Oreochromis niloticus: one gene and its partners. The protein of the gene in region 2 purifies or fractionates together with the protein of the main gene of each other region. This does not show direct contact. Links are inferred from orthologs where the notes say so. Each region holds a gene or a part of one and is shown on either strand. Other genes may lie near its edges. The genes, in order: cops8, stk11 and pip4k2aa.

Region 1 (10,675 bases), on a different chromosome or scaffold from region 2:
TATTGGTAAACAAGTCTGTGTCAAGATCCTGTGACTTGGCTGTTTTTCCATTTGATTTCTTTTAATTTATCTGCTCAATGTGCCAATTTATGTAACCGGTTCTGTTTAGTAAATGGAGTGACTGTACACATATACTACAGAAAAACACTTTTCATATGTTTTAGATTAAACTAACTGATAACAGCAAATGGCTGAGGATCAATTATGTTTATTAAACTACCACTGACACAACATTTAAGCCTCTTCTTTTCTAAATGACAATTTATCTGCTGGTCTCTTTCTTTTGCAATGCTTATACTTCAGCACTGGAACCTGATGCTTTTAATAATAAAATCCACACTTTAGTGAGACTGTTAAATTAAATTAAATTTAAGGTAAGATGATGATATATTTGATTACTTTTTGGGTTCTCAATATATTTAATGTCTTCCTTTTGTGGCTTTGATTTAAACAGATTTATTAAAAAATATTCAGATTAATTTATATGTTTGGAAATGTATTCTTTTAACACATTGATGGAAAAAATATATATTATGCAATATTCTAATTAGTCTGAGCAGTATGATAGTCATGGATACACTCAGTACACTAAGTGCCTGGAAGTACGGTCAGATTGCATTGATTGTAATCTTGAATAAATGCTGCAGTTCTTGACTGTTGCGCATTTTTTGTTAATGTTTATTCACACGTCCACTAAGCAGTTATGACCAGTGGTTGCTTAATTGTGCTATGACATACTGTACTGAGCATTAATATCAGATCAACACACAGTGTCATAAACATATGTGAGAAGCTATTCTTAAACTGTTGCACAATGTAATTGACACATGATACAAATGCAGCTAGAACTGTGACGATCAGATGATATAAATTTATGACCTGATGTTTCTAGAAAATCATTCCTTTGAAGTTGAGAAGGTGATGTGAAAAACAGGCGAAAGTATGTAGGTATGCAACCACCTTCTTAATATGCAAGTACTCTGTTGTGGATATCTGATGTACCCTTCATGACCATGAGGGTTTCTGTTTATTTTCCCATTGCTTTGTTGCATCATAGCCCTGACTGGGTTCAGCTGTTGCCCCCTGCTGGCAGTTATTCTAAATCATTTAGGAAACTTTTTTAAAATACTGAACTCACTTAAACGTGCTGACAGAATATGTTGCCTTAGTTTCTAGTTTCAACAGAGCCAAAGTTATATATTAGATAAAGAATTTGTGGAAGTATAATTAATCTGAAAAGTTTTTTAACAGGTCAATGTGATGCACGAGAAGTCAGCTGGTGTTTTTAACATTTTTTGGTTACCTCTAAGGGCCTCCATGACATGAAGAATATTCTCCGACCACTGATAAGCAGCAATGGCTGTGTAGATCCCTGGAAAGTCTCTCTGCCAAATACGCTGGCCCACTGCCCAAATAGCTGCTAATTCAGGATTTGCCTGCAGGAAACAAGTGAGAAGCATTTCAAACACAATCAGAATGCAACACTTGACCAGGCAGTGGTTTTAATGCTACTGTGAAGAGCATTCACACCCCAATATATATGTAAGACTGTTGGATCATAATGGTTCCATCATCCTTAAATTGTCTTTTCTTGGACTCTGCAAGAAGTCATGACTTGATTGGCAGTACCATAATTCCATTTATTTCATAGTGCTCTTGGTTGTCTTAGCAGGTCCAAAAAGTTTTCCAGTGGGGCAAATTGATCTGCCAGGACTTAAGATCATTTTGTCACACAAGTAAAAATTCCAATTACATGTGTTCTTAGTTACTTACATGTACAGTTGAGCAACTTTTCTATAAACATGAAACTGGTTGTGTCGGGGTGGTAAAAAATGTTTGCCCTTAATATTAAATATGGTGCAGGCACCACAATGGCAAAAAGCTGATGAAAAACACAGACCATACATTTCTAACTTCTAAGCTGGAGCTGGAATACAATTCCTTATTATCAGATTGTTCTGAAAGCTCCCTGAAAAGCCTCCAAAGCAAACAGAGACTAGAAAAAGAAATCTTTATTCCATATTAGCCTCTCTCCATTGGCTCCTTGTACCATCCCTTTGTCATGCTATGATAAATCTGGCTGCTCAGTCATTAAAGGACTTCTCCACTCCACAAGTTTGTCTTTTCTCATTAAATTAACCAGTCACATGACATTAACAAAATGCTATTCAAATTGAGCATTCGAATGAGGAAGAAAGGTAACACAAGACACTTTGAACGTGACATGGTTGGAGATGTCAGATGGGCTGGTCTGAGTATTTAGGAAACTTCTGATCTGCTGGGATTTTTCCCCACATCTCTAGGATTTACACTGAATTTTCAGAAAAAAGGAAAATATCAAATGAGTGCCACTTCTTGTTGATGACAGAGTTTAGAGGAGAATGGTCACACTGATTTGAGCTGATAGGAAGGCAAATCCAATGGCCTCCACAGTCACCATATCTTAAGCAAGTACAGCGTTTTAGTTGCAGAACAGGAGATTTGTCATCGATAAACACCCAACAAATCTGCACTGTGTGATGACCTCATGTCAACATTGACCAAAACCTCTAAAACCACTAAGAAATTTTTCCAGCACCTTGTTGAATTTATGGCACGAAGAATTAAGGCAGCTCTGAAGACAAAAGAGGGTCCATACAGTACTAGCAAAGTGTACCTTACAAAGTGTCTAGTAACTGTATACATGACAGTATGAGTAGGTTTAAAAAATGTAATAAAACCAACATTGGATTTTAAAGTAAACAGCATTTACTGTTCACATTTACATGCTCAAATGTTATTTCTTTAGCAGTGTTTACACATGTTTTAACAAGCTTACCGATTTTATTGCTTGGGGAATCCTCTTCCATAGATACCTGGCATTATTCCTGTTAGGAAAACACACATTCATAATACAGATACAGGCACAGGCAGCAAAAAGGGGCTCATCAACTAAATTGAGTTCAGCTGCCTGCAATCTGAGACAAAAATATACATTTAAATGTATTTTTTAACATAAATACATAGACATCAGATATCAGTGACTTACATGTCATTATTAAGTAAATAGAGCGCCAGCAGCTGAGCGTAGACCTGAGGTGTTGCAATGCCCCCTGGAGCCTGTTACAAAGAAATGCAGGTGTGCGATTAAACATTGGAGCTAAAACAAGCGGAAAACTGAACAAATGTTACTTCTCAGAGAAAACAGGTTATTATTATTGTCTTATTATTGTCATAATAAAAAAAAAATAGTCGCTGATGTTCACCCAGCCAACAGCAAGCGTCCAGTTAATAGTTTTAGCTCCTGCTAACATTACAGTAGTGGTCTCGCTCACTTATTCTTATACTATAAACTGTCAGTCCGAAAGCTGCATGCAGGCAGGCAGATAGACAGACAGACTGTCAACACAGGTAAGACTTAAAGGTTCTTAAATCAAACACATAACCTGCAGATATGTTCCAATTTAACGGAGAGATTATGACCGCTAACTTCCTACTATCTGCTGGCAGGTAAAGGCAAAGATCAAGCAAAGAGCAGTCCAACATGAACACGCTGCTACAGCCTATATCTCATTTTTAACGTGAGAATGTTTCGCCTACGAGTTAACGTGTTTGATAAGTTGATTTCCCAGAGCTTTAAGGTAGGCTACACACAGGCTAGGTTTTGTAGCCAGTACGCTAGCCTAAAATCTGTAGAAACCGCACCGTTCCCATCATGCTTTCAAAGCCACAAAGTCTCTGAGACCTTCCTGTTCATATTTAAGATCACAAAGTCCTTACCTCGAGCTCTTGGGCTTCACACTGCTCTAATAATTTATCAAAATTTTCCTCCATAATCACAGCAGTAGGCATGATGATGCCTAGCTGTTGCACCGGAAACTTCTGCTTCTTCTTCTTCTTTGGTGTCTTAGCCGTATTATTACGAGTCCGACGTCGGGTGTGTGCTCACTGGCGTCCTCGGCTGGCTGTAAGGCAAACTGCAGTGAAATACAACTGAACCAAAATAGTAACATAAATAAAGCATAGATAAATAAACTCCAAACAAAAGAGAGAACATATAAGAAGAAAAATAATTTTAATAGAAAAGTCAAAAGGAAGTCTGCATTCACAAATCAAAGAAATCTAAACCCTAAATCCAGAGAGCATCCTGAGGGTATACAATTTTGCTGATATACTTTGGATGTGAAAGGTCACTCCTAATAATTAAAAGTTCTTTTAATTGATCAAATTTGTTTTGTTATGACACAAGTTGTCTCTTCTAGTCTGACAATGACCCTTACACAGTGCATGAGAATGGGTCATAGAATGGTTTGATGTCTATGTGAATCACATGCTATGGCCTCACATTTTTTTCCAAATGGAGATCCTGGACACTGCTGGAGGAGACTCAGAGCTGTGGGATTCTGAAAAAATGACAACTAGCATTTTTTTTTTCACTAAAAAACAAATATTTGCCATTGGTGACGAGCAAAAACCTGTCAGTGCAACAAATTTCACCCTAAAGCTGCCCTAATACATTTTCCCCCAAAGCTGTATGACAAACATGTCTGAGTTACACAGAGGAAGACTGGAGTCAATGCAATCAAACTGTTTATCAGAGGGATATGTGTGATTTTTAGAACACTGGAGCCTAACATTAGTAGCCATAATGTTAGCTTACAACCAGGTGTTGTTTTGCTGGCTTGTTGTCACTTGTGCAGAGACAGGAGCGTTGTGTGTGTAATCTTGTAACAGTAAGTAATAAGCTAATATCAGGAATAAATAAGCACATTTATGCACTTTTTGTGTGGTCAAAAGATTAAGAGGAAAACACTTTAAAAATAATCGAGAAAACTCCTACAGTGTTCATCAAACACATAACTATACTAAGATTTTTGTGGACAATGAAAGAAAGATGATGACAGCTTTTTACTAGATTTTGAAAATGTGATACTTGCAAATGAGCTTAAATATATTATAAATGGGAAAAATCTTACAAGCTATGTACAACAAATGAGCCAGCTAATCTGAGACGAAGGTCTGACTCGTTGTTAAAGATATTTGCAGTAACTATTGTTTCTTTAAGTAAATTTAGAGTTTAATGAGTTTTATTCATATAAAAGTTCTTGTCATTATTATTAAATGCTGTGGTTCGGCAACGTTAAGATATACGTGCAAGTTTAGATTTATTGGTACTTCTACCAGGGAAACTATCACTCTTTAAAACACTCCCAGTGCTGAGAGATACTTTTTTTCTCTTAATTCACTAATGATCTTCCCGCCAGTGGTGGGCATTCCTCTATTTTAATTCCTTTTGATCTTTTCTTTGCCTTTGATGGTGGTGACTACACATACCTTTTTATCCCATCCACCTCTAAAAAATTAGCTTGGCAACTGAGACACAGCTCTCATGTGTTTTCTTTATTTTGACAGATATTCTACTGTTGATATAGAAAATTTATCATTCTCCAAACTTCTGACTTTTTTATCTGCATTGAGGGTGGTATTTTGCAATCTTAAGGAACACTAAATGTGTAAAAACAAACAAAAAACACCCCTCAGACATCTTTTTCACACTTTAATTACAACATTTTTGAATTACTTAAAAAATCTAGTTGTACTGACAAATCTGAGATTTTTAAAACTCTTTTTTAATGTCACAACCTCCAAAATATTTGTTTTTATCATTGCTGAACACAACATGCACTAATCAATTTATCAGCTTCACAAGCTCTTTTTAATCTCTATGGAAATAATAGAAATCTTGTAAAACAACGCATATGGACCAATTTCCATTTCATGTTCCACAGAATTGTTCCAGGGGGTTTTATGGAGAGTATGCGAGATTACTTAGTTAGACGGTCTGGGGAGGATGTGTGGAATGGGGACACTGATCTGTTTTGCACTAGCAAACAAACTCATGGGCAGGCAGCTGAGTAGAGTTGGTGTGGTCAGCAACAGGCATGACAGCTGAAGAGCAGAAATACGGGATTCCACTCACAGGCAGATTTTCAGCTGCCCGACCCAACCCTGACACGAGAGGGAGTGGAAAATCAAAACAGCAAACAGATTATCACATTTCTAGGAATCTTTTTGTTGATTTAACTTCATGGAAGGCATATCAGATATCTGGCATTGTCCCTGATTGTCAGGAGGTATCCCAGATGTGCTTCAGGTAGACTTAAAGAGCTACTGGAGGTATACAGGGTAGAAATATGACTACGATGCGATCTTGTAATGTGAAAGCAGTTTGATATACCCTTGAAATTGAGTTTTAGAAGAGCTGGAACTTATTTATTGCTTTCCAGGAATTGATGTTAAGTTAGACATTTAATTTGTGTCTTACATTGATTCTCATTCTCCTGCTTACCTGTTTACCAACTTTGAACTTGCTTTTACATCTATGCTTTGCTCTCTTAAAATTCCTTTAATGCACACAAATTTAAAAAAAAATCTATTTGTGTCTGAATTACCTTCTGTAACTTTCTGAAATCTTCATTGGCAAGAATGAAAAGTCTCATCTAATGTTCTGCTAATTTCACCATGAGATAAGACTGGACCTTCCTATTACATTACAGTCACAGTACTACAGTTCTCAGCAGCCACTTATTATAAACCTAGAAGACTGTTTTCAGATGTGCTACCTTGACCCTCCTGTCACATCCTCAATAAATGAATAAAGTATATAGGGACCATAATCCCTGTTATGGTGTAGGCCAAAGGAAAGGATCAAAGAAATGCAAAGCAGCGGTGTTAATAGTTTAATAATGCTGAAAGAGAATCCCATAAACACATGAATGAATCACATTCCACCACATAAAGGACATCAGAACAGCTTCTTTCTCTGAAGTGTGGATAACATAGAATAGAATATAAAGAATAATAATAAAAACAGATTTTATTTACTTAGCTTCTCCTCTCTAAATGTATCTCAGTGTTCAGCTCTGAGAAGAAATCCCCATGTGCCGGATCAGTGGAATTCATGAGGACTTTTGATGTTCCTAATTTTTTATATTCGTGAAAGATTCAGCTCCAGACATTATTGAGACTCTCTGACTCAATCAAATGTTGACATGGGGAAAACATTTTAAAAAACTCATCTTAAGAGCCTCATAAACTGTCAGGTCTTGCAGATTGAGGACCCAAATGCAGGCTCTAAAAGGCAGGCGGAAATAACACAAAACGACCTTTTATTTCAAGTTGAGGAAAAACAGCACGTAAATGGTGAAAACACAGACAACAATAGTGAACACAACAAAATAATTAATACGTAGAACTGGAAAAATATAAAGACCATAAGTTAAAAAAGAAATCAAAACCCTGAGGGATAATTAGACTCAGTAATAATAACAGAAATTGTCCTGATAAATTAAAGTCAAAATGTAGACAATAAACCAAGTACAAAACAAAAAAGCCAAACAAAAAAAGACCCTGAAGGCAGAAGAATTCCCAAGGAGTCCTACGACGAAAATCCAGGACCATGAGATAAACACCCTATTATAAAAATAACTCTGTGATTTCTGTAAGAGAAAACACTGTTAATGATGTGATGTTGTATGGCTTTAGTTCCACAACTAAGAGCTGCTAGGCTTCTATAAATAACTGAGAAAATGGGTCTTTGATCTCTGAATTGTAAGAGTTTAATGACACTGAACGCATGACTGTCTTTGGGCAGAAGGATGCACTGAGAGGAATTGTTGGGTTGCTTATTTTCACTTAACAAAAATGAATGCAGGTGTCTCATGTTCTCCAAATCTTACCTTATTGTGTCCTTTTTAACAAGATTAGATATTAGAAGAATATTAGAAGATGGGAATACATTTTTACTAATACTAATTTTTAATATTAGTTATGCTCAGCTTGAATCAGAAGGAAAAGAAGGAAGCTTAAAAAAAATCTATATTTTCTGTTGTCTACATTGTAGAGGGTGACTTTACCTCTGAAGGGGAAAAGGGGAGTAGGGAGGAGGTTAAAGTGGGATTCAGCAGGTGGGGAACCCTAACATCAGTTGTAGCCACTCAGTGTGGGGAAAAGTGGGTCACAATAGGTGAATTTTCTTAGTGTACAGCATGTGATCAGCTGATATGGATATGCACTGAGGTTCACTGCTCTTTGTGGATGTAGACAATTTTGTTGTACGCAATCCAACAACATGTACGTAGATGTTTCAGTCAGTGTAGGGGATGGAGAACCGTTTATACTAACTTTATACTAGATTGTATAAAGTTGGTATGAATCATGTAAACATCATCAGCTTAATTTCAGATTCATCTCTGCTAAACTTGATTGTAACCTAACTCGCACCACAGTCACTGTACACCAGTCACACACTGTTCTATTGTGTGTGACTGGTGTTCTGTTCTGTTTAAAACCATCACAGTACAGCAAACTGACCTGTTTATTTTGTGCTAACCTGCAGAGTATTTTCATGTAGTCTTTAAATAAAATAGTCTACCCTAGTTAACAGGTCCAAACAGAAAGATCTGGGTTGACCAGGTTTGAAGCTGATCAGTGTCTCTGAGCCTATAGGAATCATAAGCTGCCTATACCACTGGTCTTCTTCTTCAGTCACTATCCCAAACTCAGGGTCTGACTGGTAAATTAAATAGTTTATTTCAGTTTAAATCAGTTTCTTGAATGTATTCATTTTCTTTCTCAAGTTACTGGTAGATGAGGCTTAGATGCCAAAGCTACTTGATTTAGCTGGATTGCAGAGTCAAGCAGATCTCTTCACAGTATTTACCAACTCTTAGAAAGCCTTTCTGGTAGAAGGCAAACTGCCAAGAGCAACACCAGTTTTCTTATTAGGGATACTGAGGCTGATGACAATGGTGGAGATTGTATATGCACTCATTCACATGATTGCAAAAGATATCCCCCTCAAAATATCATTTGTTTTAACCCTCTTGAACAGTTGACTAGCTCTGTTATTTCTGGTCAGATCAGCCTGGTAATTTTTGAATTTGCTGTCTTTGTTGTTCTTTTGTTGTCATAATGCCTCATATGCGCCTTATTGTATAACTCTTTCAATAAGGAATATTAAAGAGGAGGAAGAAAAACAAAGTGCCAATGACACAGTCTTGTCATCTCTCCCCTTTACATTGTGTGAACACCGTTGTGTCAACCTGAGTTATTACTCTGTGGGCTTACAGAAAAGGACAATGCAGCCGCTTTGGGGAGTCATTTCCTTGGGGAACAGGAGAATTGTTCTGTGATGATTACTTGTAACCTCTGGGCTATTATTTGAACGGAGTGTCCACTTTTTAAATGCCAGATAGGGCTGGAGGTCTGCTTGACTGATTAAGCCATTTGTTGAATGCTCTGTGCAATTTGTTTGCAGGTTTTCAAAACCACTTGAGCACACAGCTTGACTGTAAGCTGCTATTTCAGCGCAAGAATCAGTCAGAATGAGACTAGTTTTATTATCTCAATCTTGGAATTTTAAGGATATTGTATAGCGTTTTCATATTTAAAAAAAATATTGTGTTACATGTGTCAATTTTGGATCCTGTTTTCCAAGGAAATAGGTAACACTTCAGTGATAACTGCCAGCAAACCCAGTTAGGAAGTAATTTACATGAATTACTTCCATAACTCATAAACATGGGGGTCAATTCTTCTGGTTGCTATAAGACGTCAGATTGTATGTCATGTTACTGAAAAATGACTCAACTTTTCACTTGATTTATGTCTTAATTAAATAGTTTAATCGGTTCATAGTGTCAATCACTACTTTAAGGTCGTCCCTTTCTCCATTAGCTGGTAAATTCAAGTTGGCCTTGTATGTGTTATGTATATGATTTATTAGAAATACAAGGATCTGAATCCAGCGTTACAGCAAACAGTAATTTAAATCAACAATCAAGCTTAATAAATTTATTTGAGGATCATTTTATATGGAGTTCAGTACCCAGAGATCAATAAACTCCCGTCTATGTTACACAACTATACGTTCTCATTTCAGACTTTCTTCCTTTCATTGTTGTTTCTAAAAGGTACTCTGGGGGATCTGGATGGGAGCTGTCACCAGTTCTCAATGATCCTTCTACTTCTGGCTCATTTCATTGCTTTCCATTATGCCTCCAACACACAGGCCTAGAAACGGTTCAGCGACACCATTGTAATCACAGGTTGATGGAGTTGGCGAGTGGTGTTTGGCAGTTGCTAGGTGAAATTTGCTGTAGCAATTGCTGAATTTGCCTTTAGTTTGCATGGAAAACATTAGATTGCCTGAAAACTTGCCAACAAGTGATAGTGAAGTCATGAAAAGGGTTACACAAACACAAACGTTGAGATATTTTGCCTTCAAGGTAAATTCTGAAATGTGTGAGTTCACCGCAAAAACTCAAAATCTTACCAAGTATATTTGTCTTATTTCTAGTCAAAATTTATCTGTTACACTTAAAATAAGACACAATCAGCTACAGGGCAACATTTCAGTAAGCTAAAGGAACTTGTTTCAAGACAGTGAATCTTGAAACTAGAGAAAAACAAGAGATTTTTCACTTGTTTCACTGGCAGATTTTTTTCACTTAATACAAGATATTTTAGCTTGAAATAAGTGAAAAAATCTGCCAGTGGAACAAGTGAAAAATCTCTAGTTTCAAGAAATGTTGCCCTGTAGCTTATTGTGTCTTATTTTAAGTGTAATCAGATAATTTTGACTAGAAATAAGACAAATATACTTGGTAAGATTTTGAGTTTTTGCAGTGTTGAA
Region 2 (10,510 bases):
AGACTCAACAGTGCAAAATAATAAATAAAAATCGAGCAGAAATAAATAAGTATTAACAACACTGAGGTGAACAGTGATAGATGGTGAATTGAGCTGATTGTATTCTCAAACTGCATCTCAGTGCAAAGGCAGCAGTACAGGTGAACAGTGCCAGTGAAGATACTAACAGCTGAGATTACAGCTGCTAAAAGGCTCTTTTATTCCCAGCAAACTAAAATGCAGTTTTAGATTATAAAGCATAGTTTTCTAGGACAAAATTTGTTTAAGTTAGATAAAACACGCCATTGCAATCCCAACAAAATGATTCTAACTGAGCTTACGGGCTTTTCATTGCTCTGCTGCTGTTGTGACTGCGGCCTAAAAAAACAAACAAACAAAAAAAACCCCCCCACATTATCTTGCAGCTTCTTTCTGTCTGGGTGAACTTGCTCTGACAGTTTTCTAAGGCTTACTCTATAATTAGCCCAGGCCCAAGGCGAAAGGCTGGAGTGATATTTAATAATACTGCTGTGATTAAAACTACTGATGCTCATCAAGAAATGTGGGATGCAAAAAAAGAAAAAAGGAAAAGAAGAAAAAAAGAATACACAGAAATGACAGCTAAATCACAGAGGCAGTGACACAAAGGAAAGGGAGCCCAAAGAACAGAAAACAATTACACAGTTACTAGAAAACCATCTACTACTCACAAACAAAAACAAAACAAAACACGTTAGTGGTTTGTATAATAATATTTGATGGCATATTTTTTTCTCTGTGCATGTTATGTAGATGCACTGGAATTAAATAACCGCTTTATTAAATGGATAAGTGAAGATCTGAGGTGAAGAGACAGTTTTGTTCCCCCATCACAGGGGGGATCGCGAATAAAAACTAAGTGTTAACAGAGTACGTTGATGAAAGTAATCAGGTTTCATGTTTATGTGACTACTGCAAAAAGCTGACAATGACCTATTGACGTGCATCTAAAAATCGCTGAATGCAGCATCCTCATGCAGCCTTTCGATGTCTCCTTCACATTTTAGCAAAAATACACAACCTTTTCCTGTGTTTTTTCCCCCTATCAAATAAAAACAAAACCACACATTTGTGCGTCGCTAATCAATCACTCTTCTCTTTTTTATGGCTAGGTGTCGAAAGTCATCTCTTAGGCCAGATCTGCAAGTTGGCCTTGCATTTACGCATGGTGTTTGGCATATGTGTGTGTGCCAGCTTTGACTGGGAGGTACCATTAGTGCAGCGACACAAACGCTATTGATATAACTGATATAATTCTACTCTTATTGACTTTGTTCATATAAATGACAGACGGATTACCCACCGCAATGATCAACTTCTCTTACATTTTAATGGCTGCACAAGCAGCACCTCACTCTCAGGACTCGAGAGTGATGCTGACTATGTAAAATTATCTTCGCTATGTCAATTGCTGGACAGGTTTGGCTTTGTTACGTGAGAAAAATAACAGTGTGTATTGAAATTAAATGTCTCAAACATATTACAGTATTCTGGTGTTTGGATTGAAACTAAGGCTTTGTGTCTGCCTTTTCCCCTTATCAGTTATGATTGGTAGGTTTCAAGTACAGTATCAGGTTTCTCATTTTAAAAATACAAATTAGGAGTTGTACATGTTCCGGAGAGGGAGCTGCATTTTTTTAAAGGCTGTGGCACACATTAAAACTCATAAGAAACTGATTTTACTGTTGGCAGGTTAAATAAATTTTCTGTGTAGTGACTAAAATTAATTATATTTTGATCATACACTGCAGGCATGCCACCTAGTTTTACCTAGTACAACCAACTAAAAAGACCTTACAAGACGCATGTGTGAAACAAGATAAAACAAATCAGGAAACACTCACTTTTTCACATTGGCTTCTCCATTAGGAATCCTCCTAAGCTTCTTCTTCTTCAGTATCTTGACAGCCCTGCGACAAAGAGTCTCTGAGTCCAGCATTTCTTTCACCTTGCCATAAGATCCTTCCCCGAGTAGATCCCCCATCAAGTACTTTCCTATCAGCTTTGCCCTCTTCCTCCGAGGCTGGTAGATCACCTCTGTAGAGTCAATGCGGTGAATAAAAGTATCCATCTCCATCAGTTCATTTTCATTTAGATAGTCAGACAGGTGAGGCAACTCGCCGGCACTCATGATTGACAGCTTGTACTTCCAGTGAAGGAAAAGGTTTGCGAATAGCTATGACTGCTGCTGTTAAGTAACCCACTGGTAACCTTTCAGCACCGAGGTGAGTATTTTAATTCTGCAGGATGAGTTACAAAATACTGAACATTGGAGAGGGAGTAATCAGGCCTGAGAGTTAAGGGGAGGAGGTGGGTGATCAAGCCCAATTTGTAAACTTTTTCACTCAAGAGGGGCGAAAAGGGGCTAAAAACCCTTGGAGTCCAGTACCGAGTTAGTGCTTTATACTGTGCATTTTTAACTAGATCTACAACAAGTGCGGTTGAACAGAAAACTGAAAAAAAAAAAAGCGATACTACAACGTTTTTCTTCTCCTTCACCAATTACCTCAGAATTAATACCCTACAGTCTTAAGCAGAGGCAACCAGTCTTGATTCAAGGCCACGCAGCACGGCATTTCTGTCAAGGGTCCATGCTGGATATCAGAGTTTTCTCAGGGTACATAAGTGTTTACAGCTGGATTGGATCCAAGCACAGATCTACAGCCTGAGCATGCAGCAGTATCACTCCAATCTCTGCTATCAGTGGGGCTCCTGGAGGTCGACTCCAGTGTCCAATGTGTTGAACTGTCCTCAGGTGTCCTCCATGTCACCCCGGTTTTTACTGCCCGGTGCCTGAAAATATGAGTAATTTAAACATTAATAAAAACACACACTTAAGTTAGCCATCTTTGGTAAACAATCGACAACACATCAACACCTAACCACCTTGAAATCCCGTGGTCAAAAAACAAAACAAAACTCGCCAGGTTATTCTTTCTATATGCAAACATAACAACCTCATATATATGTAAGGATTGTAGTTTACAAGTTTTTAGGCCGGAATAAATATTTTAAGTGTCAACTGTTGGCTAGCTGGTAAGCTAGTGCAGCAAGTCTGCTTGAATGAACTAGCCTGAAATGCCACTTTGCGGTCCGTCGGTAAGCACATATTCAGCAAGCACAGTAGGTTTCATCTCAGAGACATGCTTAAAAACAACAAACAGCAACTTAATTTGACAGTGAACTGACAGAGAACAGCTGGTAGGTGGGGGGATAACCAAAACGTCGTCATCCAGCTGGAGCTAACGGTGGCTGTGCACCTCCAGTACTAGCTAGCCAACTTTGCCTGACGTTTGGATTTAGCGTTAGCCAACTTCACCTCCTTTACCGGTGGAAGCGGAGGCAATAATGGGGACACACATTGTTCTCTAAAGACAAAGCATTACGCTGAGCCGACAGCAGAGACACCATCTTCAACATCTTCTACACTCAGAAGAAACGCACCAGATAAATTCAGCTAACGCAAGCTAACCGGAGTTGCGTTGGTTAGCATGCCTCTCAGATGCCAATGTAAATAGCGAGCTAGCTGATTAACAAGCTAACTAACTCCCGGTACCGGGTCTCACCTAGATCCAAATGAACCTCCTTTTCGCTGCAAGGTTTATCCTCTGTTGTGAGTCCGTCCCCAGTGAATAAATTATTTAACTTTAGTCTGACAAAATCTCAGTGATATTTTTTTTTCCCCCTGACTCTTCGTGTTACTCTTGCTTCTCAGGTTGTCGCCATCTTGTTTACCTACCCCCCCCTACTCGCAGGGACAGCCCATAGGTTAATGCGTCAAATCAAAGTTTTTTCCCCTCCAAACAATGTAGAGGAATGTCAACAACAGGGGAGTTTAATACAACAGCTGTAATCTTTCTCATTTAACTTTTATTAAGTGATTTTACCCCATTGTTATCTATGATCATTCATATTTCCCAGGAGGAGAGAGTATATTCTTGGCAAATGTAGTTCATTTTTCTCAAGCACTGATTACAAGAAAGAGAAATTGTTACCTGAGACAATTAATTAACCAATTAATCATTTATTCCAACTAAAAAATGTCAATCATTACTTGTTTCATCTTCTCAAATGTCAGGATTTATTTGCCTTCAAGATAAAGAATTTTTTAAGTATATTGTCAAAAGCTATTTTACATCCCTTTCACAATTCTCATAAATTTTAAGAGATCAAAAGATTAATGGATTATAATAATTGCACCCACTAATATCTGCCTTAAGAAATTTAATCCATCAAGAAAGCTTCATGCCATTAACCAGCAACTCTCGATTTACTTTCTACTTTCACTTAAGTTGCCTCTGATTGATTGTTTGGCTGAGGAGCAGCTCTTGCTTAGCTGGGATTTCTGAGTTATATTTATCCTGTCTAAACCTCTCTGGGGAATGGCAAACTGGAGCTCTGGTTTCACTGATTTGTCACTCCTCACCACTGGCTGCTTGAGCCTGGTCAAGCCTGCTTAATGACTCACTGCTGTACAGAGCCATGGCAGAATGATTACCGATCAAACTATCAAATACGATTACACGACTGCCTACACTTGGCACACAGGTATGTCATAAACTGAAAGTAAGATACTCTTGGCCCCTGCATGTCCACTAATAAATAGATTATAAACAAATAGGTATAAGTAGGTGAAAAGATAACTGCACATTTCAGGAAGTGGCTGTTTTATTGCAGAAACTGTAGCATATAGTGAAAATAATCGAAATTGTTACAGAACACAGTAAGCAAAATTATACAGAAAATTGTGTGCTAAAGCAGAAGTGAGTTTATTAGATGGTAAAGCAAAAAAATGTAATGAGTTTACTCATTATAGAAGTCGGGTGAGGACAGTATTTGTTACAGTCTTGAATTGAAATATAACACAGATGATCAAATACTGAAAGACGGTGTGTAATTACACCAAACAAACTAGAGAATCTACAGATCTTTATTCCATTTTCAAACTTCGTCATCCTCTTGGGCGCGCACACACACACACACACACACACACACACACACACACACACACACACACACACACAGTATTTCAAAATTTCTACTGTGCAACAGTGTTCATTTTGTAATGAAGCGGAGCTGTGGCAACTGGAGAAAAAAAGCTTTTAAGTTACAATAAAGAAGAACAAGTATAAACATAAACAGCTGTCTACATTAGTAATATGGTCTCCGTGGATTATTCTGTAAAAAGACAAAAGAAAAAGCAGATTAAATTCAAGCACAACAAAAGACTGTGTGTGGATGTGCAGCAGAAATCTTCTTTAAAAAGTCAATAGATCATAACACGGAAACAATGTGTGGCTTTCTTTATGCAAATCCAAATTATGTAAACAGTTTACATAAATTGGTGAAATTTTATAATGATAGAAAACATAAAAGAGATGTTACCAGTGGGTTGGGCCTGAAGCGGTAGGCGAGCATCATCCTCTTTCTAAAAGCGTCATATTCATCATCACCTTTTGTGAGCTCAGCTGGGCGGTCAATTCCAAATCCTGCTCCATTCATAGCCGTAGTTCCCCTGGAGTGAGACAGAGAGATCATAAAATAAGCCTTTTTTGTGTCTCTCTGATACGAGTGTTACAGTCTCTAATAATAACAACTGCTCTTCCAAATCAGAGGTGTAAATAATGAAAGTATTAATGAATGGCTACTGTGCATGTTGGCTCACTGTCAAACTCATGGCCTCCTGAGACAGCTGAATATAAACAGAGCCAGTGGTAATAGTGGCTCTGTTTATATTCAGCTATTTATACCTAAATAGGTCTGCTAATTCCTATTTAGGTAAAAACGCCTACAAGATTTACAAGCACACACTGTACACTGACTGCTAAGTAATACATTCCTGACCCTGTCATTACAGGGTCATTTAACGACACCAAATTATACTTTTATATACTTACTGCACTAAATGTTGAACTAATAATTCCTGCAATTTATGTATCAAAGTACCCTGTGACTGAAGCAGTAAATCAGGTGTAGTTTACATACACTCATCATGGGCATGAATTTCATGGTTATTTAGAATTTTTTCAACCGTTAGTCTTCCAGGATGGAGTGATTGTACAGCATATATTACTCTCTATCGACTTAAAAAACAAAACAAACAAAAAACAAAACAAGAAATGGTGCACAAGTTGGAATCTTTTTTATAACTGCCAAAGCTCAAGAACTGGAAACTGCTGGAACACCAGTGTCACTGTCCACACTGTTTTACATTGACATGGAGTGAGAGGGTACTGACCAATAAAGACGATGCTGCTCTAAAAAAAAAACCCAACACCTTCAAGATTATCCAAACCAAATTTCAGTCAAAGCAGGTTAACATTAAGCTGATGGAATGGCGTGCCCAAAGCCCCGACCTCAACCTTATTGAAAATCTGTAGACTATGTTTAAAAGCTGGGTTGTGGTAGAAAACCAGGCAATTTAAATGAACTGGTTTGACAATACCAAAAGTGTCTGGTTGAGGTGCAACTTGATAAGAGACATTTAACCAAATACAATTACAATCAATCCATCCTGAAAATTCACAGTTAAAAGAAATCATTTAAAGCCCCAATTTACCATGGCATTCATGTCCATGATTAGCATATGCAAACTTTTGCTCACAACAGCACTGAGTTCAGTTTAGTTTAAATATTAGAAGGATGATATTATAAGTAGAAATGCTCACTTGTTGACAGGAGCCTTTATTCCCTGTCCTTCACTGCCGAGGCCTTCGCCTTCTTTCCAGCCCATCTTCATGAGCATTCGGAAACCGAGATTCTCCACCGTCAACTTAAACTCTTTGTATTCTGAGTAGTCAGGGTCCCGACCCTCCTGTGAATCCAGGAGAAAAAGTTGAGCATTCATAACAAACAGAAGCAGCATTGTGTTTTGATTCAACACATTATTTTTTTATGACTGTAGGAATCATAATTCAGTTTTATTAGAAACACTCAAAAAATCCTAAAGATGTCGCATAAACATGAAGCAAATGGGACATGGAGACGGCTAAAATAAAGCAACAATGTTTATCATCCTTGGGAAGTGCACATGTACAGAAACAGGGAGTGTATATAGTTGATTATTAGTTCTGCACAGGTAAGTCATAGGTGTCTTCTATTGTTTAGTTGTTTTAAATGTTTAGAACATTATAGATGATGTAGATACATCATCAATAAGACTCAGCTTTCAGGCCTTCATCAAATACAGCCTGCAAAAACATACGTACTATAATAACCCAACAGTTATATTACATTTTCCTCAAAGACACTTGTCTTTGTTTATACGTGCTTAGACTCAAACTGTATTCTGTTTGCTATTTAAAAAGCCACATCCTGGAGCTGACTTTCTAACAACTTCCCATGCTTCTGGCAGACAAATTACGTTCATAGTGTTCATTTTTTCAGCTTTGATACTTTTTGATGAGATAATAACAGTGCCAAATCACACAGATTTCTTTTTAAAGTAGCAATTATAGTCTGTTCCTAGGGGACTTTCAGAAAGGGATGAGGAATGTGCTGGGAAATGGGCAGTCTGGGTTCAACTGCTGAGGCATTTCAGAAAAACCTCAGCTCTACTAATAGATATGCATGCCTTTCTTGGTCAAAAAGCCACTAAAAATTATACTTAATATATATATATATATATATATATATATAAACTGATTTACAAGGGCCTAATTTAGCAATCCTTTCTTTTCCCCGGAAATAACATGCATGATGCATTAAGCAAATCCTGATATTTCCTTCCCAACTTGGGGAAGTGTTGAATTCAAATGAAAACTGACCTTTAGTGCCTTGAAAGTCTCCATAAACTTCTCCAGCTCCTCTGGGGGCAGGAAGTCACCAATAAAGTGCTTCCCTTTACCCATTTCTGTCAGAGATTCAGCCCATTCTGGAACAGACATTTAATTTTTTTTTTTAAATCAGAAAGGATCACATACTAAGTCTTCAAAAGCCTATAGAGTTAAAGTGTATATGAATGATTTTCCAGGCTGCTGGTAAAACTCACCGCGAGTCTTCTCCATTTCCATCTTTCGGAGCCGATGTTCCCAGGTCCCCGCTTGCTGGTCCACCTCTTCATCGCTGTCATACTCGTGCTGATGCTCTCTTATGGCCTTCTCCCACATCACCTGCATGTCTGCCATCGCACGCTTGTGCTTCATAATCATGTCATACATCTCTTGCATCTGCAAAAAAACAACGCCTGCTCAGTTAGCAACACGTACGTTGTTAGGAACTTCCTGGAAATTATAATATTGTTTGATTTGAAAGAAATTTAAAAGACTAAAGCAACAACACTATGTATTCTTTTTTAATACTTCCATACCTCTTGTTGTTCTTTCAATTGTCTCTTCTGGTCCTCAGATAATTCTGTCACTCCAACCAGACCAAGAGGCTTCCCTTTTTTATAACCCAGACCTCTCAGCTCCTGGGCTAAAACGGGGAATATCCATTAGTATGTATAATGCTAGCAATCTCAATTTTTCATTAATCGTCAAACTATCTTGCTGGGCTCAATGTTCAGATGACTTTATGAAATATGGCTATGAGCATTAGCATGCATAAGTTGGAAAATATTTAACAATATTTGTTGTCAGCTGCAAAGCACATAACACTGTCTTCTGAAAGAATTGCACAAGAAAAAGGTTTGGGATTAAATTAATATTCATCCCCTACAAATAAACACATGAACAGTACTTGCACATTTGTAGAGTAAATACCAGAAAGTGATGGTGCGTTAGGGTCTGGAAGACTGTTCTCATGAGGAACAACAATTGGAGGAATAGGCAGGTCGACTTTGTCATCTTCAGACCCCCATCTGCTCTTCCTCTTTCGTTTCACAGGTGGGGGTTCTGACTCCTTAAAGTTAAGTGCAGATGGCTGGCTCTGCTGTGGAGAGAATTCTGGTACTGGAAAAGCAGCTGGTGGCTTAACAGCTGTCCTAGAATCTCCTGTTAAATCTGCAGAGTTCTGAGAGTTTGCAGCACGATACTCCTTTACTTTCTCTTTGTAGAAACGGTGGGCTGGACTTTGTTCATCATATAAAAAACTGAAGGACAGAAGATTCATACAGTTCAGACGAACTATTAAAAAAGAAAATGTGAGACATGCAGGACACAGAAACAGATATGAACACTTACCTGAAGGCTGGGTTGTTTCGGTTGCGCTCAGCAGCGATGGCTTCCACCTCTGGGCCACCCTCCGCCACAAACTTGGCCAGCTTCTCAGCCACCTGCTGGGTTTCCGCGTCCACTGGGGGGGAGACTTTAAGCAGCCTATTAGTACTGGGAGTCAATTCACACTCTACTACTGTACCGTACTCAACTGGCCCTCATACACCACCAGTCTAGAGCCAATAGGGGATAAGAAAAGGAAAAGGGAAGGAGGAGCAAGGGGGACAGGGGTGGTGAATGGGGAACTGTATGGATTTGAGGCTTTTACTGTAACAAATGAAGAATGAAGCCCTGAGAGACTCCAACAACATACAGTATAACTATAATTTAAAACTTACATCTGCATTCATTACACTGTCCAAGTCAAAATCTAATGCTGTATTTATTCAAGACTTATCAAAAAATAAAACACTATAGCACAGTCATTGTGCCAGAAAACAGACTGAGAGTCTGAAAGCAAAATCTGCAACATATTTAGCACAGTTAAAAGCAAAGGCTAGTTGTGACGTGTTGGCTTGAAGTTGGAAAAAGACCCAATCAGAAGCAGAAAGTGGGTGTTGAAAAGTGCCAATCCAGATCAGAACTTTAAAATACATAATACATGGTTCAGCTGCTTTCCAAATATCTCAGTTTTAGATATGCTAGGAGTGGACACAGTAAAAGTTACACATTTAAAATGAAAAAATATTGGTGTAGTTGGTGAGCTGGACTAACACTACTGAGAAATGTGAGCCTTCTGCTATGCAGTTTTCAAAACTGATCAAGTTATGATGAACTTCATTGCAATAGTACATTAGTTACAGGCTTCTGTGGTCACTATTTTAGCCATCACTATCAAGCTCTGAGTATCTCAGTAGTCAGATTATAATACCTGAAAATTGTAAGTGTATCTGAGAATGCGGTACTGGCATCCATTCCTGTGCAATAACAGTAACTCTGAGAGGAAAGATTAAAGAAAAAGAGCAGAAAAGGAATTGTGTGAAATAAAAATGCCATTTACCATTATCTGAGAGTTTCTCTGGTCTTTGCAAATCCTTTTTCAATTCTGCAATCTTTTTCTTGTAGTAGAGATATTCCACGCTGCTCTTATCATACAAAAAACTAAAAGGCAAGGACAAAAATTGTAAACAGATACGTCTGAAAAAAACTTTCAGAGTAAAATAAGTCTCAATAAGTTAAGTGACAATGTCCTTCAAACTTACGAGAAAACAGGATTGTCCTTGTAGTCTTCCTTAGCCTTCTTCTCCAACTCAGGTCCCCCCTCGGCCACAAAAGAAGCCATCTTGTCGATAATGAGTCTGGTGTCTGAATCCTCTGGGGGAGAGACTTTAAGCACG
Region 3 (10,044 bases), on a different chromosome or scaffold from region 2:
TTAGAACTGGAAACAAGCATTACAGGTCCTGTTTCTTTCCCCCAAGCTAGACACTTAGAGCTATGGTCTAAATCCGCTGTCATGTAAGTTTCTTTTATTAAGTTTTATAGTGAGAAAAATCTTCCTGACAATGGTAGAAGGCAAGAAAAAGGACCAAATAATACTCTTTTAGAAAATCCACACTGCAATTTTTATGGCTTGAGGCACCCCAATCACAATTTGTAATCTTAGTGCAGCCAAAAACAGATGCTATATATGCTGACAACATTTCAAAGTACTAGGATTAAAATAAAATGGGCTACTTGCTTAAGCAGGTTATTTTAAGGAAGCTTTTAAATACTTCAAAATACACATCTTTGGTTAGCTATTACACAACAACAATTCTGAAGACATACACATAGTTTACGGGATCATTTAAACATCTCATTTATTCCTATGATTGCTGGCACTCTATTTGTCTCATTCTGCATGCCATTTTCACTTCACTGGACTAATATAAAGGTTGGAACTACTGGCATCTAATCTGCACTGGAGAAATTAACGGACCAGTAATTCAAATAAGTCTGGTTTTTAAGCCAAGACAATTTGGATTATTCAGATGACAACCCACAGTGGTTAAAGAGGGTGGTTACAACTGCAGAACATGTGTATGAATGAATGTGTTTCAATGTCCTACTGTCTTTGCAGTCTGGTGGCATTCTCAAGCCTCACCTTTTATTCACTCCTTTTTTTAGTTCATGTTACTTTTGCAATCTCCTTGCTGCAGGGAGTGACCTTTAGCTCGGGCTGACCCATAATAACCAACCCAACATTAGTCTGTGAGAAGAGTGTTAGTTCACTGGTTGGTTGCCAGGAAAACAAAACAAAACAACAAAACTCAAAGTCTCACTGAAGTGTTAAAAGTCACTTACAGATAGATATTACTGTTTACACAGCTGGTTCCTCCATTTATTAATTTTATACACGTCAGGCAGGAAATCCAAACAGCGGGTTTATTGCAAGAGTAAACGATAGCCCCAATAGAGCGGCAAACCCCACAGGCAAACATTCACCTACCATTTATCAACCTCAAACATGGCTTATCATGTTAAATGCACAAAAAGCCCAATAATAGCCAATTAAACACTCATTCTACTATTGGAACAGAGTCCTTGCTGACTGTTGCTTTAATGGTATCATTAACTGGCGGCTTCCTGTGTAGTGTTGTAAAATTTAGATTTTTAAGGCTTATACTAGAGTTCTGTATCTCTGTAATTATGCATAGTGTTACCAAGGTTATGTAACAGCTCAAATATAATATGATATAATAGCTCTCAGCTCTGGAATTAACAGCAGTTTTAGATGCTCCCTATACATACAATTATAATTATTTTAATAAAAAAATGAATGATGCATGGATAAACAGTTTAAAAATGGATGGATGGCTATCATAAATGTGCATGAGTAGCTAACTACTTGTCAACAAGGCAAATTTGGTAAGGGGTGGCCCTACTTATATCAATACTTGATGGCCTAAACACTCTTTGGCAGCAACTCAGTGGCTCAATCAAGTGATCTGACATGGAATGTAATTTTTACGTAGCTGATAGTATGACAAGCTGAGTACCTGCTGAGAAAAACTGCAGGAGAAGTAGCCTAAGGCATAACAAGGGAATGTGCTGACGATTCCAGTGCACTGTTGAGCAATCCGAGTACAGTTGGAACATGTATTCAATGATTCTTCAAACTCTAGGATTTTATGGTTACAAGCCACTGACCCATAATGTTTCAGCAGACAGGTGACACAGCACAAAAGTAGACACCTAAATCAGACAAATGATTATGATATAATCCTAGCTTTGACATGCATGGACAAACACACAAATGATTTTCTCCTAAATTTACTGATGTGACAAAAAAAAAAAAAAAAAAAAAAAAATCCATGATATAACCATAAATTTTTATTGAAGGGTTTTAAGAGCTTGGTGGCCATCTAGCTGATGCAATTGCTTACATCATATCTGATCAGCAAAACCAGTAAAGTGAGGACAAATGGCATATATTTATATACATTTATCTTTTGTAGGCACTTCAATGACATTGAAAAAGAGAATGACTAATTTGTAGTGCATAGCTTCACAGAGGTAAAACTCTTGTGTTTCTTACTTTGAGCCTTCAGGCTTAACACTAACCAAAGCTGCTACAGACTACAGCTTAGATAAAGAATGAAAGCTTCAGATCTTTAGCTGCCTTGGCATCATGTATGTCAGACTATTCTGAGGTCCTGTAATCCACACTAAACTGCCACCCTGAACCCTACTCCAAAAATCAAATGCTGCAGAGTAAAAAACTAAATTGTAACACATTCTCATAAAGACTTTCCCCTCAATCTGCCCACAGTGCTGCAAGTATGTCAAATATCCACCAAATACTCCTCAACCTGCCTCAACCTGACATATTTTTTTTAATTTGTCAAAAGGAAAAGAGATGTCATTAGAAGACACTCCATTCATTCTTAATTAATTTGCTACCATGCAAAATTCTTATTGTTGTTATATTACTATATATATGAATAACAGGCAGAGAAAAATAAAGTGTGAGAAATTACAGCATCAGTTACAATCAAAGAATAAAAGTTACTGCCATCATTGTTAAAAAAATCTATAACTAACATAAAAATAAACGTGTGTGCTTAATAAATATATGAATGCTGCTGCTCAGCTCATTTGGCTATACCTTGGAAATCAGTTCTCCTCAATCAGTCTGGTGCCAAAAGATTGGCCCTACAGTTATAACTCTGCTATAATTACGATTTAAAAAAAAAAAAAAATGGGCAAAAATCAAGGATAAGCTATATACTAAAACTGTAACAAAAAAGGAGCTGCCAGAAGTACAGCTTACCTGCCTCGGTCAGTTAAGCATCATCTATTCGTAGCCTAAATCTTTTTGCAAAACACCGCTTACAGGTTTAATACTTGTGGTTTGGTGCCAGAAATATTTGCATGTGCTCTGTCTGCCAAGTTGTGTGCTTTTTCCAACATCTGAGAAGTGGCCAAGTGCAGCAATTATTCAGCAAAGGAAGAGAAAGACAGCAGAGATAAGCTGTCTTGCATGGGAAGATCTGCTCTCTCATGACACAGAGCCCTAGGAGCTTATCCTACATGTGCACAACAGGAAGCCAAAGAGAGTTCACCGCACACGAACACACGCGCGCATGCATGCATCAAAACCACGGACTAATAAGATCCACGACATTACTATTGCAACTACAAAAAGCTCACTAAAGCAAACATTACTAATGGGTTGCGCTAATTGAAGCCAGTCCTGTATTTACGGTGACAGTTCAGTGAACCGCTGGACAGCTGTCACCTCGTATTTTTACTCAGCTGCAGTAACACAAAAGCTGATATCTGACAGCAAGTGAGCCTTAATGTGGAACATCAAAAGATCGAGGGAGACATGACCGTAGATCATCACAGTGACAGTGGACGGTCTGACTCACCGAGTGGTTGACTCCCCACATGAGCACGCTGAGCAGAGGGTCGCTGGCACGGAAGAGCTTCACTTTTTGGGCAACGAAGTGTTTTTTCTTGGTCTTGGTTTTGCTCGCAATGGATGCGGCAATGCTGCTCGCCGAAGCCATCTTTAAGAAAACTGGCTGGTTTATTGCAGACTGTGCGATAATCCCGACAGCGTGTCTTCCCTTGAAGCTGGCACAGCGGCCACCAGCTCACGGTTCAGCAATGTCAGTACTATTCATTTAGCCAGCCCAGCAAACCAAGGTGCCCCAATTCTTTTCTTCATCTAAAGTCCCACAGAGCTCGACTGTCGCTGTGGCCCTAGCTCGAAAGAGACTAACGTGAGGAAATACGAAGCGTTTAGCCTAATACTGCTTGCTCTTCTTCACTTAACCGTCATACGCTTCTCCGCCTGCCCACATCATAAGTCACCACTCTTCCTTCCTTGACTCTCGACTGGAGCTCTCCGCACCTCCTGCGACGTAAAGTCTCACCCAGGTAGCGTTAGCATAGCCGAGAATAGCTTGTTAGCTAGCAAACATCAAAGCTAAATTTCGTAAAAACAGTAAACGTACGGAGGATGAACAATTGTTAAGCCCCCGTGGCAAATGACCCAGAGAACACGAGCTTGTTTTTTTAAATATTAAAATAATAGCACATTAGAAATGCTGAAGGGTAGATAGACGCTTAGAACTACCAGCTAACATGAGCCTCCCCGACCTTCTCTAACCAAATGACGGCGAGAAGCAGAAGCGGACTCCGTTCACCAGCTATCAAGCAGTAGCCTGCAAGCTAACTATTGCCATTAGCCAGCTGCTCGGTGACTAGCGAGCGGCTCAGCCCTCCTCCTACGCGTTTGTACTTAGTCCACAGAGATGACAGGGCGTGTATCCTGCGATGTCCTTGCCCGGTTTAAATGAAAACATTGAGGAGCAAATATTTCGACGTTACAAGAATATCAACGTTTGGTCCACTCCCGCAGCGTTGATGTTCATGTGCGCTGCAACTGACAGCTCGGCGGATGGGAGGTGACGGGCTGAGCTTTGCAGTGTCTCCTGCTCTGATTCGCTGCTACTCCTGCCCTCCACTACCGGGCCCATGTTACCTTTCTGTTGTATTTTAATAGCTCAAGAGCTTTTCTATATTAGTCTATATGTGGCATTTGGATTTACCCTTCTTGTCAGCAACAAAAAGGTTATAACTGAATGAAAACTGTACACTTTTTCAGTCAGGCTGCCCTACATGACTGATTTCTTCACCCACCCCCGTTTTTTGCAGCCTCTTTAATAGTAATGGATTAGCAGAGACGTGCACCATCCAAGTCAATATATATATATATGTATATCTCCACACCATCAGAGATAATGTCTTTGGAGGTCATTTGGTCTTCTGGTGCATACTATGCTGTTTCCACTGGCACAATGCTGTGTCAGTGCCTCTGTAAAAGCAGGAGGCTTCAATGTGCTGATGCGATATAGAGCTCATTTGTTTTATGGCTCACCCTTCACGGCAGCACATTTCTTTTCATATTGACTGAGCTCTATTTATATTGAATTAAAATATATGTTTGACAGATATATATATATATATATATATATATATATGTATATATATGTGTGTGTGTGTGTGTGTGTGTATTAAACATGTAATATGTGACAAAGCAGGGCTGTAAAACTAAATTCTAAATTATTCTAGTGAATGAATGCAAATTATTTATAATTTATGATAATTTAATGATGGAATGTGCTTTCTTCCAAACTTAAGTGTAATTCAATGAACAGATTCAAGGACAACTGAGGAGCTTTCCAAATCTTAGTAGTTCTCAATAGTAAACTACACAGTGTCATTAGAAAACAGCACAGAACCTTTAGTTGTCTGGTTCACCCCTCCATAGGTCATGCAAGTTGTGTTTTCAATAAATAAAATAATGTAATAGACACTTATACATCTAATTGCCAGACTGTTCTGTTGTCCTTTAAAGATTTAGACCCCAATCCATTGAGCTCCAGTTCATTTTACATGCACTTTTTGATGGCTACTGACACATTTGCTACAATGTCCCAATGATGATTTTAGTGGTATTATTCACAACCCCTTCACCTGACCTCACGCTCACTCAACATAAACTTGTGCCCTCCTCGTTGTTACCCAGGATTTATTCTACCAGTTTGTGTAAATGTGTGTGTGATATGTTCAAAAACACACAAACAACATAGCTAATACCTGTCAGTAGCATTGCCTTTTTTGCGTGTCTTAGCATTTCCTTGTTGGACTATACTGTTTTTTTTTCTTTTTACTTTACTTGGATAAATAACCACCGAATATATTTTTGTTCCGAGTCCCGATTACATAAATGCATTGTCAGTGTTTCCGAAGTAAACTGCTAAGACAATAGGAGCCATAACTTTTTGCAACAGGTTAAAATAACGATTGTTTAGACCATTATTTAGTTCCACATGGCACCCGTTGCCTGGCAACGTTGCGTCAACCTCCTTTTCCAAAACACAGTACGGTGAAGTTATTGTTGTCGGTTTAAAACCTCGAAGTTGCCTCTTAGTTTGGAAAGAAAAAGTAAGTCGTGGTTCATTTTTGAGATAGTAATTAGAGAGCTTGCCATATGCCTGTTTTGTAAGCTTAATCTGTCGACAGTGCTACTGAGTAGTGGCATAGTAGCATAACTAGCTAGCTAGCTAGCTTTATGGGTTCACAGAGTTGAACGCATTGAACCATTATTGGACCGCTGCCTCTCATCAATATTGCTCCTCCTTAGGCCATAATATGGGAAAGAAGTCGAGGAACGAGAGGGAAACGCCAGTCAAGGAAACGGTGAGTGACGAATGTTTCTTTAGGTGTTGGCAAAACCTAATTAATGCATTTTTGAACCTTTGACAAGGTTTAATTCATGTCCACACACAGCCTACTGTACATCCCGGGAACATATCAATAAAAAAGCATGCACAACTCTCTGATTGGAACTACTACTATGGAACTTGATTCATTGGGCCTTGGCATCATAGGTCATTAAGACTGATATACAAGCAGGTATTTGTGTCAACAAATCATGATTATTCTAACTACACAAAAATTAATGAATGAAATTTGAATTTGCTTTATTAGTACATATCAAATGCTCTGATTGACACATCAAAAGCATTGACTGATAGTAAAGAATATATTTGTGAGGAGGTAAGAATGATCAGTTTCTTGCATGGTGAAACATCCCCTTTCCCAGTGGATAATTTCTTGGAAGGAATAAATTGACACTAACAGTCTGAAGAAAGCTAAAGAGGGAGTGTGAAACTGAAAGGGAAAAAAAAAACAGATGTCATGCTCAAAAGTGTGTCCATCTGCCACTACAATAAAAAAGTCTTTGACTTCATTCCAGATGATGAAGTTTTCTGATGTTCTGATGATAAAAATAGACATGTACTTTGAAATTGTGGCTTGGTCTTTAGTAGGCCTTGGGCACAAAATTGTTTGAAAACGGCATCAGGATATCATGTGCATGTACATGTTCTCAGGTTGTTGCCTGTTGGTACATGCTGGGCATTGAGATATGTCCTGTCTCATTGTCCTAGAAGTATGAAAATCAAAAAGACAGACCTGACTTTATACATTTTTTTTTTGCAAACACTCCTTCTCCTTGTTGACTCTCACAGTTTGAGCCGCTACCCCTTGAGAGCAAAGCCCCAGCAACAGTAGTGCTGCTGTTGAACTCCCCAGAGGAGGACATTTTAATCAAAGCGTGTGAAGCGATCCAGACATTTGCAGAAAAAGGTATGGTAGGGTACCCACCGCTAACCCTTCCACATATTATTTATTGTTTTTATTTCTATGGGCAACCTTGCAGCTGAATAGCAGAAAATCCGTACAGATAATTTAGCTTTCAGGCTGATGTTTTGTAATGGTGTATTTTTTTGATATGCATTTTTTTAAATCCAGAAATTGCAACATTTGCAATTCACTTCATCACCATCTGCCTAATTTTCCTGTTCACTGTCTCCCCCTGTTGTTAGGAGATGAGAACAAGGTTTCTCTGCTGGGACTTGGGGCATTAGCGCCTCTCTGCCAACTCATTACTCACAACAACAAGCTGGTCAGACGCAATGCCTTCATGGCCTTGGGCATCATGGCCACCAATGGTGCGTCAGACCAGTTACGTCATTGATGCAGATTCGACTGCAGTGGACTTGGTGGCTTACAAGCTCATGCGACAATCTTGATTCTACAAATGACCCTTTAGTTTACCGGCCATCTATGTGTTTGTCAGGAATTTGTATCTGTTAATCTACCAGATGTTGGATTCCCTGTTCTGTTGATTTAACAATGAGCAGGGTGCTAGCCTTACTGAGTAACTGAGTAGTGTCTCTTGTTTAAATCTGAAAGGTGATGTAAGGACTGCGTTGAAAAAATTAGATGCCATTCCATCAATTATTGAAAAACTATCACTCGAAGGTGAGTAATAGATTTTACAAGATTAAGATATATTTGGATCACTAAAGCAAACAGTATCACTTTGTATAAGTTGCATACAATCAAAATAGAGCACATGTGTTTACTTATGGCAATAGGCAGTATTTCTGTGATCAATCCTTATTTATTTCTGGTTCTCGTCATATGATCAAATTCCATTTTTGTTCAAGATGATACAGTTGTCCACGAGTTTGCAACACTGTGCCTGGCTTCTCTGTCAGAGGATTTCCTCTGTAAGGCCCAGATCTTTGACAACAAGGGGCTGCCAACTCTAATTCAGCTGCTGTCTAGTTCTGACCCAGATGTCAAGAAGAATTCACTAGAGACCATCTCCAACCTAGTACAGGTGACCCAAAATCATCAGGCTTTAGGATTTTATTTTATGTAAAAATTATAAGGATTTTCACTGTGAAAAATTAACGTGATGTTTAATAGTCCTAAAAGACAATACAGTTGTCTTCACATATTTACTGAATCCCTGAACTTTTCTAGATATAACGTGACAGAGGTACATGTGACAGTGCAGATGTTTAATGCTGTAGAATGTGTTTAACTTGTCAGCTCTGCAAGGGAAAGTATTTATTATGTCCAGTTTCATCTATGTGATAATAGCGCAGGTAATAACTCTGGTGTCAGTGGTCACACTGTGTTCTGCCTCCCTCCTGCTCTACTAAGGCAGCACTGCTGCCAAACCTAAAGTATTTCTTAGTAATGAGAATGCAGTTAATGCGAACTGTTTCCTGCTGTGCGCTATGTGTGAGAAAGAGCAACTTCACAAAGTCCTGACCTATTTCTCCCAACATTTACAGATTTCATGAGTGAAAACAGCTTCAAATTTGCTCCTAGGATTGTTGAAAAAAATGCTTTCAACATTTTTGTGAACCTTTTGCAACCTCTGCTGTTTTGTCCCCATGAAGGACTACAAAAGCCGCCTGGTCGTACACGAATTAGGTGGGATCCCTCCACTTCTGCAGCTCTTAAATTCGGAATTCCCTGTCATTCAGCATTTGGCTTTAAAGACGTTGCAACATGTCACTACTGACAGAGATGCAAACAAAACCTTCAGGGACAAGCAGGGATTTGAGAAGCTTATGGGTATCCTGAATAATGTGGTAGGTATATGGTTTAGGTAACATATGTCTTCATTCTGTTGGTTTGTGTTAATAAGAATAAAATAATAGAGAATCCTTTAAAATCTGTGTCCTCTGGACCTATCTTTTTATTTCTCACAGAACTTCAGTGACCTACATGCTGAGGCCTTGCATGTCCTGGCTAACTGCTTGAGTGACAGTGAAAGTGTCCAACTCATTCACAAGAGTGGAGGACTGACCAAGTTGATGGAATTTGTCCTCACTCCCAGTGTGCCTGAAATCCGGTCAGGTGTTATTAAATGCATCACCAGGGTGGCTCAGAGCTGTAAGCACAGAAGGCAATTAGAGACAACAGATTTCTTTCAACTTTCCCACATAATTTACTCCTTTTCATTTATTCTGTTATGCGTGTGTGTATGCGGGTGCATGCCTGTGTGTTTAGCTGAGAGCTGCAAAGTGCTTCACGAGCAGGATGTGGAGACGGTTCTGGTTGAGCTTCTGTCCTTGGAGAACACTGGTGTGATAACGTCTGCCTGTCAGGCTGTGGCCGCCTTGAGCTTCCACGTAAACAGCAAAGAACGCTTCAGAGAACTTGGCACGTACATCTTCACCGAGCCACCCTGAGATTAGGTGCAGTCAGCACAACAAAGTGTAACTGAGTTGGATTCCTTTGTGTTTCAGGTTGTATCAGTGTCCTGGTTCAACTGCTGAGCAGGGAGAGTTTGGCACTGAGAGAGGCGGCAACCCAGGCCCTCTCCAACCTCACTCATAACAGCGCGTCAAATGCCTTGTGAGTGACGGGGGACTTTGATGTCTTACCTATACCTCATTGTTTTTGTACAGAAATATGCACTTCTTTTAACAATTCAAAATTTATGGAATTATGTATAAAAACATCTACAACAAACAAGGCAGTTTAAAGACACAGAATGAGGCATACGAGACAATTTGTATAATAAGTTACTGGGTAATATTTATTTGTC

What was found.
Region 1: the proteins of stk11 (region 2) and cops8 purify together in Homo sapiens (affinity purification with mass spectrometry; 3 studies listed by BioGRID and IntAct, with this or other methods). This does not show direct contact. The link is inferred for Oreochromis niloticus from reciprocal best matches to the Homo sapiens genes STK11 and COPS8.
Region 3: the proteins of stk11 (region 2) and pip4k2aa purify together in Homo sapiens (affinity purification with mass spectrometry; 3 studies listed by BioGRID and IntAct, counting the BioPlex papers as one, with this or other methods). This does not show direct contact. The link is inferred for Oreochromis niloticus from reciprocal best matches to the Homo sapiens genes STK11 and PIP4K2A.

The regions. Positions count from the first base shown.
Region 1 is NC_031987.2:7,709,972-7,720,646, forward strand, and holds the start of cops8 (COP9 signalosome complex subunit 8), read right to left. Parts: upstream 3,912-10,675; 5' UTR 3,832-3,911; coding exon 3,760-3,831; intron 3,100-3,759; coding exon 3,029-3,099; intron 2,868-3,028; coding exon 2,819-2,867; intron 1,437-2,818; coding exon 1,304-1,436; intron 324-1,303; exon of another isoform or gene 1-323. UniProt on the Homo sapiens protein: Component of the COP9 signalosome complex (CSN), a complex involved in various cellular and developmental processes.
Region 2 is NC_031982.2:13,189,361-13,199,870, reverse strand, and holds the start of stk11 (serine/threonine-protein kinase STK11), read right to left. Parts: upstream 3,802-10,510; 5' UTR 3,585-3,801; intron 3,427-3,584; exon of another isoform or gene 3,208-3,426; intron 2,812-3,207; 5' UTR 2,150-2,811; coding exon 1,863-2,149; intron 1-1,862. Other genes in the region: sugp1 (SURP and G-patch domain-containing protein 1), read right to left, coding at 5,170-5,196, 5,404-5,533, 6,687-6,832, 7,785-7,891, 8,009-8,186, 8,327-8,433, 8,721-9,049, 9,141-9,264 and 2 more. UniProt on the Homo sapiens protein: Tumor suppressor serine/threonine-protein kinase that controls the activity of AMP-activated protein kinase (AMPK) family members, thereby playing a role in various processes such as cell metabolism, cell polarity, apoptosis and DNA damage response.
Region 3 is NC_031974.2:21,796,415-21,806,458, forward strand, and holds the start of pip4k2aa (phosphatidylinositol 5-phosphate 4-kinase type-2 alpha), read right to left. Parts: upstream 4,568-10,044; 5' UTR 3,623-4,567; coding exon 3,482-3,622; intron 1-3,481. UniProt on the Homo sapiens protein: Catalyzes the phosphorylation of phosphatidylinositol 5-phosphate (PtdIns5P) on the fourth hydroxyl of the myo-inositol ring, to form phosphatidylinositol 4,5-bisphosphate (PtdIns(4,5)P2). Has both ATP- and GTP-dependent kinase activities.